4 linked regions of the Caenorhabditis elegans genome follow. The protein of the gene in region 4 interacts with the protein of the main gene of each other region in a pairwise test. Each region holds a gene or a part of one and is shown on either strand. Other genes may lie near its edges. The genes, in order: sqst-2, C01G6.4, C33G3.6 and pat-12.

Region 1 (3,452 bases), on a different chromosome or scaffold from region 4:
AGGGCAGTGACAATCAAATTTTGTTTTTGAAAAAGTGAAAAATCATGAACGCGTCATTGGTGATTGCGGAAGAATAAATAAGGAATGGGTAGGTACAATAGACTGCTTTGGCTGAGTTGTAGAAACCTCCCACGCATGCAAAAATGCCTACTTGCATGCTTTCAATGCACAGTAAGCGTTGGTCACTTTCTAGGTGTCAGGCAGGTAGGCATTTTCTAATTACATGGAAAAGTGTTCTATGGAGCCAATTAAAATAGAAATTTTGAAACATTGTGTTAATTTTAAGACAATTAAAAATTGGAAACATGGCCTACAAAATGTTTTTGAAATTCTCAATAAAGGTGGTCCGCGGTGTTATTAATTCTAGTCCTACAAGTCAATAGGAATGAAAATTCAATTGGAACAGATTTCTGAAAAGCACAAGAAAAATTTAATTTTAAAATTCAAAATAAGAGGGAATTTTTTTTTTTGTTTTTTTTTTTGCGAGATAGATTTCAGGAAATTAAAATTGAATGGAGGATGCGTCTTGGTTTTTTGCACTTCTGCAATTACATAACTTTTTTGGTCTTTTTAAGTATAACAAGATAGGACAGAAATCCGACAGAAAAACTAAGTTCACAACATAAATAGGAAAAACAACAAAACTATAAAATACAATTTAAAACCAATGATAATGTTCTCTTTTGATATCATAACGATGTTCTGGGAAAATGTAACTTGGGGCGTTAACTGTGACATAATCAGGAATACTTGTAACCCTTGGAGTCACAATTCGTAGAAGAGCATGCTCGTAGTGAACCAAATCTTTTTCACAGTCTCCACAAATATCATAGTCTGGACATTGAAGACAGTGATAACGGCTTCCAACAATTATACGGAAACAGTTTCGGCATGGAGTGTCATGATGGACGAAGTTTCTTATTGAATCATGATGATGATGATGGTGATGACGTTTGTTATCGTTGAATCGAACAGATTGATGGATTGAATGTTGAGATGGAGTTCGAATTATTGGAACGTTAACTTCGTGATAATTACGGCTTATGCTTCTGGGACGGTAATCTGAAAAATTAAATTTTTAAAAATTTTGTTACTATTAGTTTTGAGTTACATAAGAACACACCTTTGCAAAACAACTTGAAATTTCTCAAAATTTGAAAATAAAAAATACTTTGAAAGATCATTGTTCCTTTTTTTAAAAAAACTTAATTTGAATAATTGAATTTTCAAATTGTAAGATTATCTAACAAAGAACTAACAAGGTTGTTATAATAGGACTATGGAACTGTTTTTTAAAAAGTTTTCCGTAAAATCTTACCTTCCAGTCTTATATGTAGATGTGGAAGAATATGATCAGGATTTTGAACACATTCCATAACTTGCACTGAATCATTCAACTCGTTTTGAGCACCAATTGTACTATCTATTAAAAAATTATTACAAATATTTTTTCATTTCAAAAAACTCACCCGAAAATAGACGATAAACACCATTTGATGGATACAATTCGTGTGCAGCTTCAATTAATTTTTCCATTGCGTTGAACTTATTCAAATACAAAATCTTTGATCTGTGATAGTTATTATGGTAGAATGAGACATGAATATCCCTTGGAATCGTCTGAAAACAGTTTTATTACTGAAATCGAATATTCTTGAAGTTACCGAATATGATGGAGTTCTTTCATATCTTCGTTCTATGATTGGTGGTCTCCTGTATCGAATACTACTCATTTTTGTTGACCCAAACTAAATCAAAACTAAAAAGTTAATCTATAGAAGTAATGAGCAATTTTAGAAAAAAAGTTAGGAAGAGTCGAGAAGTGAAAATGTTGATTTCAGCGCCAGTGAAACTCTTGTCAAATGCTGAATGATGCAGTTTTTGATAAGATAACATTCCACTCGTTAGTCATTTTTGGAGAGCAAAGCAAAGAAAAGAAGAAGGCACATCAGAGAATGTTGCATTTTTTGAAATATCTGAATTGACTTGGTATAACACTAGAAATAACACTAAAAACGATGGGCATTCTCTTGGGTGAGTTCTTAATCCTTTTTTAATAAATAAATTTTCAAATTGAACTGACAAAATTTGCCGAAATAAACTAACAGTATGCCGCTTGTGGACTGGCTGAGCAGTTCGTTTTGAAAGTTTTCATATCGTTATACTTGATTATGGTTACTGCAACAGTACCAAAAAATAGTAAAAAACACTTTTAAAATGTTCTAAATTAAACAGTCTTAAATAAAAATATTTGAATGCAACATATTAAATCCGGAAACTATTTGAGACATCCATTTCATTTAAAGTTTTCCACTGCCAAATTTAAAGGTTTCTAAAAAAGCAAGATTGAGGAATCAAAGAAGAAACATCAACTTTCCACATTTTTCACTAACAAGATCCAACATTTATTAGACAAATTATTTTAGGAAGAGAATGAAACAGTAAAAAAAATTAGCCGGTAGGAATAATCAACTTATTATTAGTATGTCGATGCTTCGATTTGAAATAATTTGCTCCTTGCTTGCATATAAATACTGGCCGTCTTCTCTGGTTTGTGCGAAGTTCCTCACGGAATTTACGACGCTCTTCGTGCATTTTCTTCCGCTGGCACTCGAATTCTTCCTCCTTAAATTTATCATCAAACTATTGGCAAATGTGTAAGAGGAACTCACTGTCATTTTATCTTTTAACAATAAAACTAGTTTTTCACCTCCATCAAAACGTATTCCATATCTTCTTTGATACCGTAACCTGGTTGCTGGATCAAAACTTTGTTCCATCATTAGAATAATTGCAGACCATTGTCGAAGCCACTCTAATGAATTTCCAGAGACTTCTGTATAAGTATTAGTCATCATAGCAATAAGCATGTTAATGAGCAAAAGTGTTACGAGAAGCATATAGACTACGAATGTTATCTGAAAATCAAAAATTCTATATTTTTCGATGATCTTTCTAGTCTAGAATTGTTTTAAAAAAAGTGTAAGCCTACCTTTCCAATAACGGTATGCTCACATTCTTCCAATTGCTCAAAAAATACAGTAAACTCTGTGAGTGACATGATAAACATCCGTACGTAGCTTTCCGCAACGTTACTCATAATGCTTGGTTCACGATTTCCAGAATCACTTCTCTTATAACCGAGGAATATGACATAAAATGCTTGAGAGAAGCCAACTACAATGACCAAATAGATCAAGAAGAATCTCATTAAATCACGAATTATAATTTTATAGAGCATCAAGACGAATGGTCCAACTGACTTAAATCCTCTGGAAAAGTAGTTTATTTCCTATTGTGGATCTAATCATAAAGCGTACTTACCTACAAAAGAACAGAAATTTCAATGAAGTTAATAAAACAATCACTATCCAAACAATATCCTCGGCTTCATCCAAACAAAATATTCTCAGAAAAAATGTGATGACCATTAGAATACAGGAAAATAGGAA
Region 2 (3,944 bases), on a different chromosome or scaffold from region 4:
ACAGTAATTCTTTAAATGATTACTGTATCGCTTGTGTCGATTTACGCGTTCGATTTTTTAAATGAATAAAATTGAGCAAAAAATGAGAAAATAACACGAAGAAACGAAAGAAAATGGAATATTGCTGTCACTTTTTGAAAAAAAAAAAGATTTTGAAAATTGAGCCCGTAAATCGACAGAAGCGCTACAGTAGTCAGTTAAATAATTACTGTAGTTTTCGTTACGAGATATTTTGCGCGTCAAATATGTCGCACAATATGCATTCTCCGAGTTTTGCGTTCCTGTAATACGAAAAAGGTTACTGTATCCCAGGGTTTGGATCGTAGTTTTAGAAATCCCAAAAAAAAAGTTAGGACTCTTTGATAAAAAATTTTGTTCGATATGATTTGAAAAAATAAAGTTCCGTCAACAAAATTGACAGCTGAAGAAGGAAAAGGCGGGGCCCCAGTGGGCATGAGTGTCCCCAAGTCATGCGGTTATGTCTCTGCGTCTCTTCTTCTTCGTATACTCTCATTTCAGCTGTCTCATCGTCTGAAACTCTTATGGCTCAATGAACTCTCGTTTCAAAGAGACAGCTGCAATCGAACAGAGAGAGAAAGAGTGAAAGAGAGAAAATGAGAAGACTGCTTCGAGACACAACCACTTTTGGTCGTACTGCTTTTTTTCACCTGTTTTCACATGTATCGATTCAAGTTTTTAGAATCTAAGTTTCAAATTTTGATCACTTCAAAAATTATTAGTTATTTCTTTTTAGTCTAGACTTTCCTCGCGAGAAACATGCTTAAATTTGAATATATATCGAAATGTTGTATTTCTTATCAATAGACAACATTAATGTTTACTATCGATTAGGTTTTGTACGATTATGTCGTATAAAAATGTTGCTAATGCATTTCCTATGATTCTTGATGTTTTAGAACGGATTACGAAATTCTGCAATGATCAGTCAAATAATTTAAAGATATTTAGTATATTTAGCTACCACCTAGATACAGTAACTGATTAAATCGTCTCACTTCTTAAGTCTATTGTTAACTCTTTTCCTTAAAAAAGGGTCTTCATGTCCTATTTGTTTTGGTTTCGAGACCTGTTTTGGGCATAAATACGTGCAAACTACGGAAAGTCATTCCCGGTTTCCCAGAGAATCAATATTTGACGAGAGCTTCCGTGCACACCCAAACACACAGACACACATACACATAAAATGTTTCACAAAGTCGCTAAAAATGTTTTCTCATTGATTTTCTGGGAAGCCTGATTAATTAAAGAAGTCGCAGTGATGTTGTTCTTAAAGTTCGATGTGTAATTATGAGTAATTTTCCTTCCTGGTTTTCCATGCATGGACGTTTGAACATTATCTTACTATTAATTAGACGTCTAAAAGGTCTTGCGGCGCGAGCAGTGGGTTACTGTAGCTCGTGTCAATTTACGGGCCGAAATTGTACAATATACATTTTTTAATCATGAGTCAGAATTTTTTAAATTAAATTAGAGAAATATAACGCTATGGCAAACTGTATTTTGACACGAATTACAGTAACTTGTTGCCCGCGTGGCGAGACCCATCCGGAAAAGTCATGTAGAAAATTCTCATCTTTAGTCGTCTGAGAAATACTCCGATGTCCTCATTTTGTCACATCTTCATATATTCGACTTTTTTTTCAGCTTGATTTTCGATCGACAATGGGAAACTGCTTGCCGTCGTTGTTCGGGTTCGTCAGACAGCACGATGAGACGCCACTACGACGGTAATTTACTTTGTCATTCACTAGTATACTGTGAGATGTCGATGAAGCTAAACTGATGTGATATACCACAAAAATGAAAACGGAAGTTGTATTAACCAAAACACGTCGATTTTTTAAAAATTTAAATACAATTAGATTGTATGCTTGAAGTATAGAACAAGTTCAATAAACTATTTTTGCAGGAGCCGATCATCAGACGCAGCGATGAGCTTCACAAATCCGTCAATGATGCAACAAAGCGTAAGAAATTATTGAAGAATCTGAATTTAATTAAACTGAAATTTTCAGAGTTCGTACGTAAATCAGCTCTATCAACACAACGTAATTAGACAACGACAAGCACAGGAACAGGGAAAAGTGAGCGTTTAGAGCAGAATAATTTTAATTAAATTTTAAAAAATTCTCAGGAACTCGACGAAGCAAAAAAAAACCGAATTCGAGGACTTCTCGAGCAAATCCCTGCTGATGTATTTCGAGGAGATATGACCAGTAATGAGTAAGTTTTGAAATTCGGATCTAAATGAAAAATTAACTAAATTATTCAAACTACAATCTGACCAATATCAATTATTGTTCGAGCTACAGCAGAGGTGTTGAAAAAATTATTATCACCCAGACGCAAAATTTCACTCACAAAATATGGTTCCCGGTCTCGGCACGACAAAATTTTTGTGTACTGTGGAAGAGTGTGCGCCTTTAAAGATTACTGTAATTTTAAACTATAGATATATACGGAAATTTCATAGATTTTTAATTCTTTTTTGAAAACTCAAATATATGTGATTAAAAAATCACATACATTTTCACGAAACTTAAAAAATGATGAAATTTCCGCTGCAAGGAGAGTTTGAAAATACAGTATTCTATAAAGGCTCACACCTTTTCGCATTAAACAAAAAATTGTCGTGTCGAGACCGTGTATCGCACTTTGGCGCAAAATTTCGCGCCTGTATAATCAGTATTAATGCGCTCTAGTTAAATTTTTAAAAAAACCATTTTCAGATGTGCCATCTGTATGATCGACTTTGAGCCAGGAGAGAGAATCCGATTCCTTCCTTGCATGCACTCGTTTCATCAAGAATGCGTCGACGAATGGCTTATGAAGTCATTCACATGTCCTTCGTGCCTTGAACCAGTCGATTCAACCATACTTTCCTCGTTAACTGCCCATAATATGCAATCCTTACAACAAATCGTGTGCTCGCCGACTTCCTCATCAACTGCCAAACCATGAATGCCTTCTGCAAAAAATATTCCCATTTTCTTGCCCAGTAGAAGTTTTCGAGTTTGGTTTGCAGTGTTGGCTGTATTTGTCCCCATTACAAACGTCTGTATATAGAAATGCGTGTACATATGAACTATACCATTTCTTCACTCATCTTTCACCATTTTCATTTTGTTTCTTTTTTGCTCTGTTCCACCTGAAATCCCCATGTTGTGCATACTGTAGTCGTCTTTAATTCCTCATCATCTCCTGTTCATCTTTTTAGTCAATTCCATCCCAACGTGTTATTTTTCTTTCTTCTGTTCACTCATCTCGCTCTCTGTTCTGTAGCTTTTCTTTAATTCACCACTCGGTACACACTTTCTGTCTATGTATCTGATACTCATTTTATTGACTTCCCAAAAAAACTTCCGGCTACTCTGAAATTCAAATAAATTGCTTTTTTTTAACGCATAAAGTGTCAAATTGTCAAACTTGTTTTATTAAAAGATTCATATTGGAAATTGAAATTTGAAAAAAAGGATTGGATCCCTGATGGAAATTGGTACTCGTGGTGAAAAAAATATTAAAATTAAAAGTCAATTAAAATCCGAAAAAGTCTCGAACGGCATCCCAGGCTCCTTGATCGTAATGCTTATGGCTTAGCATGTTCACACCACGTCGTTGAGTGGTATACAATCGTGTCGGAGTGTCGGACTTCAGAATCTTCTGCGATTCTGGCAGCAATTCGGCGAATTGGCTCTTCTCCGGCTCGTGATGAGGTGTCATATCGGGCATCATAACTGGTGATCCGTTTTCAGTGGTTGGAGTTCCAAAACTAGTTCGGAGCACGAAGACACGTCCAGGAACGGTTGATTTTGTGCCATTTTGATACAAATCAACATCAGACTCGGTCGTAGCGTAAATATATCCGATTCCGAAGCTTCTGCGGAAGACAAACTCATCTTCGGTCTTGTAGGCGTAAATTGGGC
Region 3 (6,497 bases), on a different chromosome or scaffold from region 4:
GAAATCACAAGTTTAAAAAATTTTATGAGCTATTTTTTCAAATCTTAATTCCCCGAAATCGTCATGGATAATTTATTGTTACTAGGATTTTATTATTGACAAACGCTGATTTATCACAAAATTTGCAGCATCGTAAATTCCTAGAAAAATACTTTTTTCCGAGCTGATAAAAAGTTTGAAAAAATTTCTAAAACAAGAAAATGCCGTAAATTGGTAGTTGGGAAGAAAATTTTAAAAATTTGAGTTTACATCTTTTGAAAACATGAATAGAATTGGTCTTTGACATGATATGCGTTTACATAACATTATTGGTACAATGAGAAATTAAAATTGGAATTAGGGGAAAACTGAGATTTTTTCAATTTTCAAAAAATCATATCAAATTTAGAAAATTTTTTTGAACTTTTTGATCATGATATTCTGTCATTGTGACCCCATAGGCATGTTTTAAAGCAATTTCCCCACAAAGTGTTGTCCTTCTTTAATAAGTCTATAAGGTTTTTTGAGTGAATACTACTAGGCTGGTTTCTATAAATAAGTATATATACGTTTATTAATTTTTTAAAGTCCTTGAAAACATGAATAAATAGTGAAGACTAGCCCCGGGGACCCTACTCTCTTTCTGAGAAAGACTACCTGAAAATGTATAATTTATAAGAACTCTGAGTTGCAAAAATGCTGTCAATTAACAAATTACTTAACAATATTGATCTAGCAAGCCGGTCTGCGAAGCTCTAAATTAAACACAAATTTAGAAAAAAACTCGGGAAAACAAAAAATAAATAAGAATTAAAACTATCAAGTCATAAATATTGGAAATATATCAATTTCCTTCGTCACTGTTCAAAATTAATCGGAACTCATCGTCCTCGCATTTCACAAGATGACTCATTTTCTGGTTGATGAACACGACCAGATCAACATTATAGGAAACGCGATTTGGAGCTTCATATATTGAATCTTTCTGAATTTAAATTTTTCATCATTTATCCGTATTAGAGCTGAGCTCACCGTAACTCTGACATTTTTGCGTTTGCAAAGCTCGAGATAATCAATAATTTGGCGTGCTATCTCGTAGCTTTCCGTTTTCTTATCGATTAGAAGCCTGAAATCATCCAAATATTTATTTATAGTTCTTTTCAAAACTTTCAAAACCAACCTCAAAATTGTAGTATTTCTATAGTCGTAATTTGATTTTTCCAGTGATTCAGACTGATGGTTGGTGTTTCCATATGACTCGGTTCTGAAAAGTTAAATAAATTTATGTATGCAACTTTTTATTTGAGACAATTGTATTTAGGAATAGTATCTCCTGAATGGCTACGCTTTTCAGGTACCCACTGAGTACTGTCTTGGTTATTGCAAAATTTTGTTTTTCACGCCTATTCTTAATTTCAGATGCTTGATTCTTTATCTAGGAGAAAAATGTTTTGGCTGAACCTACCTTCCATTCGTCAAAAATTGATCATACGAGTTGTACGGCTGCTCAGCTTGACGTCCGCTATGCTGCGATTGGTGTGAAAAGTTTCTGAAAAAATGTAATTTGAAAAAATACATTTGTTGCAGTTTTTAAACGACGTTGGCCAAATTTTCATTAAGCTTTATAGGAGGCATCGCGAGTCAGGCAGATCTTAGCCTACTTTGAGAGAGAGCCAGATTCAACGTCCACACCAGATCTAATAGGTTTTTCATCGAAGTATAAGCCCTATTTCGAATTTACCTGGAGTTTTCAGGGTATGGATTGTATGAGTTTGCCCGTTCATGATGTCCATTATATTGATGGTGGTTATATCTGAAAAATCCGTATTTCGTCTGATAAATAATATTAAAATTACCCATCAAATGTTGAGATGTTGATATAACTGGCATTTCTAGACTCCTGCTGGCGTGGATTATACTCCGAACTGAAAAATGATTTAATTTATTTATTGTATAAAAATCGTATGTTTTTCAGCCTGATGCCCCTTCTCTATGATTTTTTTACGTTTAAAGCTTGTGTTTTCAAAGTTTTTCATAAATAATGAATGCATTACAATATAAGTCCAAGTTATTACAAATATGGAATTTCAGTAGAAATTACACCTTTTTTTTAACATTTCGCCCATTAAAATTTACCTTGAGTTTTCGAGGACCTGATTGTATGGGTTGTACTGTTGATGATGATTATTGTAAGGATGGTAGTTTCGTCTGTGAAATAAATATGTATTTTGCTATGGAGCAATAGCATAGTACTTACCCATAACTGCCCGCCTTTTGCTGGTATTGGTTGTATTCCACACTTGAAAAACAAATTTAAAAACATAAGTTTAAAAAAAAATTGTGTGGGGTGCCTAATTGATCTTATAAGATCAATTGCGTAAGAAAATTTTACCTGGAAATAGTTGAATTCTGATCGTGAGACTGCTGGTGGTGCTGATGGTGCTGCGGTTGATTGTAGTTTGGTCTAAATTACATCTTATATTATGAAAATACTTGATCATTCAATATTTATACCTATATGGATGCTCTTGTACATTGTTTTTTTTCGTATAACAGTTTAAACACTCACCTGCTTACATGCGAATTAATCCCTTCATGATAGACATTTTGACTTGATGCTCTTTGAATGTCTCGTCTGCAAAAAAATGTTAAATTATTGTAAAAACTGATTTTAACTTACGGATCACAATAGGGTAAATGATCGGAGGACGTATTTTTCAACCTAAAAAATATATTTTTAACAATTTAACAACTAAAAAAGATGTTTTATACCATTCCTGCTGTCCATATGATTTGTTATTGTAAACGTCTTGATTTCTATCAGTGTAGTTGATGCCATTCGATGAGTTTTCATATTTATCTTGATGTGAATTGATTGAGCTTTGCCGATAGTCATTGTTCTAAAGTAAAGTCCAAATTTTAAAAAAAATTGTGCATAAATACTCACATAAGACTTCTGCATTTCAGGTTCCAATTGTTGACGCTCAGCTTCTTCCTTTATTTTTTCTCGATGGTTTAGATTATGTCTCTGAAATTATGAAATTAGAAAAAAAGACTTTATCTTCTCTTTTTTCTTTTTTTCTTTTTTTTCAAGAGTCAATTTATACAGTTTTCATCACATTAATTCGTAAATTTTTGCTAAGTGAGAAGATTATTTTATAAGCTCATTTCTGGGCTAGAAAATATAATTTGTCATATACATATATACTCACCAGCCTATCTGCATCAATAGTTTTTTGATCAAGAGATGCCAAAAATTCAGCAGACAAACGCTCTTCTTCAGACAATCGCTTTCGTTTTTCCTCTTCGGTTTCTCCTTTTTGAACATTTTCAACTGAATCAGTTTCATAATTATTCTTCATTTCATCTGGCTTTTCATCTATGTTAAATCCTTCATTGGTTTCTGCGCTTGTTGGCTTTTCTTGTCCTTGTTCTAACGGTTTACCACTTCCACCAAAGTATTTCAATTGAATCAAATAAGATTCATCTTCATCCTCTTCTTCGCTACATTTTCCGTTGCTTTCTGAATCGTGAAATTCATCAATTGATATTTCATCTTCACAATTGCTGGATGGCAGTTTTCCCGATGCATTTTTAAGATCATGCATTGACTCTTCCTTTTTGAAGCTTCTTATTAGATTCAAGTATGCGGTTTCTTCGTCGTCACTTTCAGGATCTTCTTCATGGTTTTTGGCGTTCTGAAAATAAAAAAGTTAAGCAAGTTGCGCATATTGCTGAAATATTAAGGAAAAAGGCGTTCTGGCTAGAATTATGTTATATATATATATATATATATATATATATATATATATATATATATATATATATATATATACCTGATCACTGTTCCGAGTTGATTTTTGATTCTCTCCAAAAAATTGTTCGATGGAAATGTTCTTCTCTACCGACATTTGCTTTTCTATTTTTTCCTCAATTTCACTATTTCCAATGCGGTTTCTTTCGATATAGTTTTTTCGATTTATTCCATTACATGCTGTTGCATTTTCGCCAGTGTTTTTGAGGTTTTCCGTGTTAGATTCATCCTTATCCTCTTCGTGCCGGCATTCTTCGTCGACTCCTGCCTGCAAAACCATGGTGGTATTTTTCTGAATTTTGATGCTCCGCATTAAATTTTGCATTTTCATAAACCCTATATTTTATATTGAAGCGGTGTACCGCACTAATTTTCAAAAAAACAGCGGTGGATCTCTTTTTTTCGAAAGGTTTCATTAGTCTTAAACTATAATAATTTACAAGTTCTGAACAACTTTCAACGAAAAATTATTTGAAGTTGTGAAAATTTATATCATCCAAAAAATTGTAGAAGTTAAATTAGGAAGCATTAACCAACACTTTTTCGTAATGTTTGTTCTTGAAGAATTTGTAACCAACTCACTTTATCCCTGCCCATTTCCCCGTGTCCGTGTTCTTCAGTTAATCGATTAGTGTCGTCAGCTGCGAACACAAGAAATTGGTCTTCGTGGTCGGACATACCCTGCAAAAAAATGCGTATAATTTTTTGTGAAAAATTTAAAATTAAAAAAATTGTAAAGTTGCGTTCACTTATTGAATTTTTAACTGGAAGCTATGGAGGAACAAGGGAGGTAGAAAAACGAACAGATACAAAATGGCATGATGGGTGGTAAAGTGAGACTGGACGTAATAGACGGAGAGAAAGAGCGCGTTATGTGCGATTTTATGGCAAAGGAAAGAGAGGAAAGATGACTCGTTCAAAAGCAGAAACTCGTAAGACCCTCCCGTCGTGAGAGCAGTAACCCAATCCAAGCATTTTTTGGGACCTGATTAGCCGCGGCCTTTTTTCGCTCTAAGCCCATAATGAGAAATTCCGTTTTCCTGAAAACATTTTTAGCGGGAAACTCTGAATATGTAAAAGCTTATGGAAAATTGGGAACTGTTTAAAAATATTCAAGAAACTTCGAGGCAATTTGATTAGTTACAGAAAAACAAAAAAATCTACATAATACATAAAAGTTTGCATAAATTTGGTTGAATAAAATTTTTTACGTTTGTCGAAAAATCTGCAAAAATTGTTTGTCAACATTTTTTTAGAAGACAAAAATAGTGCAAACAAGACTAACTATTTTTAAAGATTTGAGTTATGCGATCCAGAAATCTCGATAAACTCAATAAATGACTGACAAACTGTGAAGAAAATATTGATTCTAGCACCATTTGAGGGTAACATATTAATTTGAAATTTTTTGTATGTTTTGAAAATTCATAGACATAAATAGGTGGCCTTTTTGGTAGCCCCGCTCTACATGCACATTTATTTTGTCACAACTTAAACGTAATCAGTGGTTCATAAATCTTGTCAACTTTGTTCCAGACGAACTGCATAAACAAAATTGTTCTGATTGTTTTTTTTTAAATAACTTTATTCAAACTCTTTCATTTCCTCACCCATCAATATTGGATGGCATTTCGTTTATTTGATTCACTGCGAGAAGTAATTGAATATGAGTCTTCTGATAAACAATATCAGCTTCTGTTTATTTTGCATTGCGTTAATTTCGAGTCCTCACCGTTTCTCACTGATCATCAAAATTATTAGCTGAATAAGAATGTGTGAGTTCGAAATTATTGTAACCAGTAACAATCTGAATGCCTCTTTTGATAACATTTAGCTGATTACAGTTTATAGCCAACATAATTGTATTCAGGGATTTTTTGTGTCTTTCTAATTCCAATCATCACACATGCAATTGATAGTTCAAATGATGACATGGACTATGAAATCAAGAAAGGCAATTGTACCTGTGAAGAAGAAGTTTATGAGGCAACTATCGAACATGGAATCATCAAATCACCTCACTACCCGAATTCACAAAGTTGCGATGGAAGATGTGTCTACATTGTTAGTAAATTAGAGAATGTGATTGGAGTTAATAAATGTTAACTAGCTATAGATACTTCCACATCCCAACAAAACCGTTTCTCTTTACACATCGTCGTTTGAAATCTCCAGTCGGGCAAGTCTCATCGTTTACAGTCTGCTCGAGGAAAATGGTGAAAGAATTCGTATTCCGCATGCAAAGTAAGTTGTATCTTGTTTTAAATTAGAATAATAATTCAATAAAAATTAATTAAGCTCATTATTTTTTAAACTGCCTGTGAAAGGAGACCTATGTTCAGTTTCCTGCAATATATAATTGAAAAATACATGCTTGTGGGATCATCGTGAGATCAATTAGTCATATTGAGAATGCAAAAAAAAGAAACAATGAAAAAATTATGTTCCGTACAACAAAATTCTGTGCAAAACAGAACACGGCCAAGATATGAGAGTAGAGTTTTAAAGGAATTCGGTCTGCGTATAAGGGAATATCTTTTATACATTCGTTATAGATTTTAATGTAGAAAGTTAAACCGAAAAAAGCGAAGATCCCATGTCAAACTGTCCCATTTTTATGTAATCTACAAAAAATGCGGTAATTTTTTGCATAGAAAAATGTGGCGTCAGCACGCTCTTAACCATACAAAATCTTGTGAGAAGT
Region 4 (4,738 bases):
TTCTCTAGGATTTTTCAATAAGGCAAGACGAGATCTCAGTGGGAGAAAAGAAAATAGAGTAACTATAAATATAAAAATTATAGATTTGGTCAAAGATGAGATCATTTCAATGATGGACACTTTTTAATTTTGAAAAGGTATCTTGTTAGAGAATTTTTTTTAAAAATCGATTTCGCCAATAAAAGTTAACAAAACAATATCTCCGTGATTTTTGAATTTGCAACTTTCCAAAAAAACTCTTTTCGAGGGCAAAAAATGAAGTGTTGAGCAGCGAGAGCCGACCACTACGGTATGTACTCGAATAAACAGAGAATCCCAAAATTGTGAGAAACGCAGGAAACGAGAGTGCTGGTGTAACGATGAAAAAGAATGGTTTTGAAAAAGAAGTACAACACAATGTTGGACATTTTTCTCACCCGCCCAGCAAACAGAAGCAACAGTGATTAGAGATGGGTGCCTTGCGCTCAGAGTTATGTCTATTGACCACAAAAGTTTTTGAAACAATAGGTATGTTAAAGCTGTTCCGCCGAGAAACATTTGGTTGCAACCATCAAATTTAAAAATTGAAATAGAATTGAAAAGATTGAACCTAGATTCTGGCACCTAATAATGAAAAAAAACACAGTGCTTTTGAGGATAATGGGGAGCCAGAGACTTAGTGAGAGGTCGGAGAGACGCACCCGGGAACTCCTAGGATTTTGACGAATGTGTTTGTCTTTCTTGTTTCGTATGTTAAAAACGAGGGATAGTGGAGAGAAAGACAAAACGAAGCAAAAAGCGCCAGGAGCAACACAGGGGAGGAGGAGGTTAAGGCACGCACGAGCATGAACACTTATCACCATGAGCACACTATTCGGGTCAAATGCGTGTTTCCCCGGTGCGCGGAACATAAGAACGACGCGGAACGCATGACGGTTAAGAACTACTGCAGAGAAATGATAAATACATCTATGTGTGGAGATGACTGGGATTTAACGAATTTCTGTAAATGTTTAGGAATACGTTTGCAGGTGGTGTCAGGCTCTCCCATTACAGTGTGGTCTACGAAAAATGCGGGAATTTTTTCCCAAAAAAATTGTGGTGTCAGCACGCTCAATCATACAAAAAAATCAGATGTCTGTGTCTTACCTCCCGCATTTTTTGAAGATCAAACTGAATTGAGACATTCTGACTCCAAGTGCGTTTGTTACACTAATATAATCTTTTCAGAAGTTGAAGTGAATTTTAACAAACTAAAGTAGAATTTTCGATATTTATTTCACTTTCATATAATACATAGTGGTGGCATAGAAAAGTTATTAGGCCTTAAAAACAGCTCCAGAGAGTACTATAATTTTATAAGATCTCCTGGGTCGTTGTAGAACTCCTATGCAGTAAAAAAATAGAATTCGGGGTAGATCCTTATGTTTTAAGCTATGAATTGGACTTCAAGACTTGCTAAAGTTGTAATTAATTAACCTATTTCTCGACTTGGACATTTTTTAGCTTTGAAGATACTCCTTTTGGAGATGACTATTTACTAGGTAAGTCTGATCGTTGTAATTCTAATGGTTTGATACATTGGTTCACTAGATCCTTAATTTACAATTTTTCAGATATTCAAAATTGTTACCAACTAAAACATACCGAATACTTAGCCAAATGGAAGTCTTTCCTCAGTTGCCAGTGCAGCGGATCTGTACCTTCCGACTTCTCGTTGTCGGGTGCACCAACCTGTAATCAAAACTGTTTGTATTTTAGGCAATTTGTTTCAATGTTGTTCAATTCGAAAATTGCTTTGTTTTTATTTCGGATTACTGATTCAACAGTCAAAGCATCACCCCCACGCATACACCGACAATTATTGTGGGAGGTGCGCGAGCGCGGGCGCCTGCTACTGCTGCTCCGAACAAACTTCGAAACAAACAATTTATGATTGCGGTAAGAGATAGAGTGAAGATAAGGAAGCAATGAAGGTTCAAAGTCAATAGGATTTTCTAAAAAAAAAATAAAGCATCAAATATGGAAAAGGAAATAACATATGATGGTCGAACATGATTATTTTGGAATATCAAACTAGATTAGTTCGTTTTTTTTTTGTCACCAAGAAATTAAAAACCTCAACCAATACTGAATTTTAGTCTTATTTTTAGGCAATAACAATTTTGAAAAAAAACTGAAAGTTAACTAAAAAGGAATATATGCAATGAACACTTTTCCTTTCATTTTGATCTTAAGACTGTATGATCAAGACAAAACCTAAGTTTGAGCCTAAACATAATTCTAAGTACAATCCTAAGCTTAAACCTAAGCATATACCTACGCCTAAACATAGGCCTAAGTCTAAGCTTATACATACGCCTAAGTCTGAGCCTAAGCCTATGCTTATACCTACACCTAAGAATAATGTTTATCTTATAGTTAGGCTTAAACGGATTACACTGCACCCTAAGTCTGAGCCTTAAACTACGACTAAGCCTTAGTCTCGTTATGCATCATTTTTAACAAGAAACAAAAAATTCCTACAACTTTAACCTGAAAACCTCTAAAAAAAACCTACTCATTAAAAAAAATTTCAAAAAAAAGGAAAATCCTCATAAAAATGAAGGAGGAGTAAAGAGGAAAAGAAAAGAGTTTCAAATTCTATCCGTCAAGCCCCCTCTCTCGCCGCGCAGAGCCTCCAGCAGCCACACATACAGTTTGTGTGTGCGTCGGCGGAAGTTTCAAGAGGCTTCTATTCGATCGAAGGAGAGATGTGTTAAGCGAGAGAAAACTCTTCGGCAGAGACACTATTCGATTTGGCGTAGAGCGCAGGACGCAAATTTTTTGGTGGATCTCATTAGTTGAGATTTTTTGGGTTGAGAGTATAGACAGGGGCTTACTTTTCCAGTCGGAAGCTGGTCCATTGATCTGTACTTCTTAGGCTCATTCACCTTTGAGGTGTGATCCAAATATCGATTTTTGCGCATTTTGATCAGCCATCCAGAATCTCCCGGAGATATTGGAGAAGCTTGAGGTTGCTGAAAACTCATTTATTGTTCAACGAATGCTCCGTTTTGAAAACCTGGAGTACCCGAAAACATCCCCGTCTACTCACCGGATTTAGCTGCTCGAATTGTGACGGCGTAGGCAAGACTGACAAATCGCTCATCGATTGGGAAGTTTTCTGAATTTCGGCTGACGGCTCTCTACACACTATTACGCTTCACACCACACCGTGTAGTTTCAGGGAAGTTGGTCAGTAGGTAGTAGGAGGATCCATGTGTTGTCGTTTCCAAGCCAGGGATATCTTTTTTAAAGGAGGGACAACACAGTATAACATGCACATAAGGACAAACAGGAAGACAAACAAACATGCAAGAAAGGGGATATAGACTTACTCTTTTCAGCGTCTCGATTCTCTGGAAACAAAATTATAAAAAATGTTCTAGTGTGAATAAGGTAACCCTAAACCAATGACATCTCTTAATTTTGTCAACTGGGTAATCGGGTCGATTTTTGAAAATGTATTTAACAATCTTAAAATAAATTTTTTTTTTCAAGGGTTCGACAAAGTTTGTTGGTCATCACTTGTAGGCTTTGTGTAATACATTTGTGATGTATTGCCAAATTTTCCTTATATTTTCTAATTTAACTATTTGAATACCTAGATTTATGCGGAACTCCGAATTACTTTTTAACTATACTTTTCATGCAGTGCTATGCATGCTCACCTGTTTCATGGTTTCAAGCTCCCTCAGGCTCTCATCATTCTTCTTTGGTCCAGGCCACCCTGGTTTGTTCCATGGCTGATTGGCTTCGTTTTCCTTTGCCTAGAACGTTTAATTTTATAATTTCATGACTTTATTAAATTAAAATCACCTTCAAATACTCTCTGAGCCGGGATGCTTCCATCTCACGATGGCGATCGACACTCTCGGCGAGATAGTTGCTGGTGGTGATTGGACGCGATTCACTGCTCTGAACATGATATAAAATTTTATTTCAGTCTTCAAAAGTACGGCTTACTCTGAACCGACGTTGCTCGAGCGGATCAAGTTTGATCTTCGACTTGCTATGCTCACTTGGGAAGTCTCCGGCTAGGTTCCGGCGGGGATCCGGAATTCTCGTGGAGATATATGGCATGTTAGCATTTGTGATAACCTGTAAGAGAAAAGTATATTGAGACCAACAAATAAGTTTAAAATAATGAGTCACTTATACAGAGCCTAATGATTTTGTAAAATAAACGTTTCTCGCGACGCAATCTGGCGCTGATCACTGTGATTTTTTTGTCGTAAGTTGCACTTTCTTCTAAAAGTTCCCTAAAGTTAATTGTATTTACACGATTTTTGAAAAACTACAAAATTTGAACTTTCTCTCTTTCCTCCCTCCCCCTTAACTAAATTGATGCGGATCTCAAATGCGGAAGGAGAAAGCCAGGTTGTTTGTTGATTGCCTCGTTACCCTCCACAAATGCTCAACTATTTTCCAGGTTAGTGACCCCATGATCGGCTTTCTTAGGTAGTGAGACTGTTTTTCTCTGGCTCCGTGCTTGCGCGCGCGCACGCAGAAGTTTACTTTCTAACGTTGTAGGAAAAAATGACCGTGTGTGCTCAAAGGAACACACATCGCGATCAGGTAGACTAGGCCTAAAGTATTTAAGGAGTCAACTGGGAACTTTGAGAAAGAAACCGTTTAATTTTCCCTTTTCCTCAAATTTTTCTTTGGTCGCCGTAACTTCTAGATTTTCCAGCAAACGATGAGGTTGCTCATTGTG

The links.
Region 1: the proteins of pat-12 (region 4) and sqst-2 interact in a two-hybrid assay, tested with the Caenorhabditis elegans proteins (one large-scale study listed by BioGRID).
Region 2: the proteins of pat-12 (region 4) and C01G6.4 interact in a two-hybrid assay, tested with the Caenorhabditis elegans proteins (one large-scale study listed by BioGRID).
Region 3: the proteins of pat-12 (region 4) and C33G3.6 interact in a two-hybrid assay, tested with the Caenorhabditis elegans proteins (one large-scale study listed by BioGRID).

The regions. Positions count from the first base shown.
Region 1 is NC_003282.8:7,327,228-7,330,679, forward strand, and holds sqst-2 (ZZ-type domain-containing protein), read right to left. Parts: upstream 1,749-3,452; 5' UTR 1,734-1,748; coding exon 1,665-1,733; intron 1,621-1,664; coding exon 1,470-1,620; intron 1,424-1,469; coding exon 1,319-1,423; intron 1,063-1,318; coding exon 659-1,062; 3' UTR 544-658; downstream 1-543. Other genes in the region: ocr-4 (Ion transport domain-containing protein), read right to left, coding at 2,452-2,625, 2,673-2,918, 2,993-3,272, 3,325-3,452.
Region 2 is NC_003280.10:9,270,764-9,274,707, reverse strand, and holds C01G6.4 (RING-type domain-containing protein), read left to right. Parts: upstream 1-1,665; 5' UTR 1,666-1,683; coding exon 1,684-1,748; intron 1,749-1,930; coding exon 1,931-1,988; intron 1,989-2,036; coding exon 2,037-2,105; intron 2,106-2,155; coding exon 2,156-2,244; intron 2,245-2,750; coding exon 2,751-2,982; 3' UTR 2,983-3,443; downstream 3,444-3,944. Other genes in the region: C01G6.3 (Lipoprotein), read right to left, coding at 3,556-3,944.
Region 3 is NC_003284.9:14,079,845-14,086,341, forward strand, and holds C33G3.6 (Non-specific serine/threonine protein kinase), read right to left. Parts: upstream 4,475-6,497; 5' UTR 4,472-4,474; coding exon 4,376-4,471; intron 4,062-4,375; coding exon 3,816-4,061; exon of another isoform or gene 3,750-3,815; intron 3,678-3,749; coding exon 3,192-3,677; intron 3,008-3,191; coding exon 2,927-3,007; intron 2,880-2,926; coding exon 2,752-2,879; intron 2,702-2,751; coding exon 2,660-2,701; intron 2,615-2,659; coding exon 2,549-2,614; intron 2,444-2,548; coding exon 2,372-2,443; intron 2,279-2,371; coding exon 2,237-2,278; intron 2,188-2,236; coding exon 2,116-2,187; intron 1,905-2,115; coding exon 1,836-1,904; intron 1,793-1,835; coding exon 1,721-1,792; intron 1,529-1,720; coding exon 1,445-1,528; intron 1,244-1,444; coding exon 1,160-1,243; intron 1,106-1,159; coding exon 1,012-1,105; intron 965-1,011; coding exon 824-964; 3' UTR 537-823; downstream 1-536. Other genes in the region: F16B12.1 (CUB domain-containing protein), read left to right, coding at 5,726-5,857, 5,910-6,037.
Region 4 is NC_003281.10:735,968-740,705, forward strand, and holds the start of pat-12 (Protein pat-12), read right to left. Parts: upstream 3,012-4,738; coding exon 2,862-3,011; intron 1,714-2,861; coding exon 1,627-1,713; intron 1-1,626. Other genes in the region: idpp-1 (SXP/RAL-2 family protein Ani s 5-like cation-binding domain-containing protein), read left to right, coding at 4,721-4,738.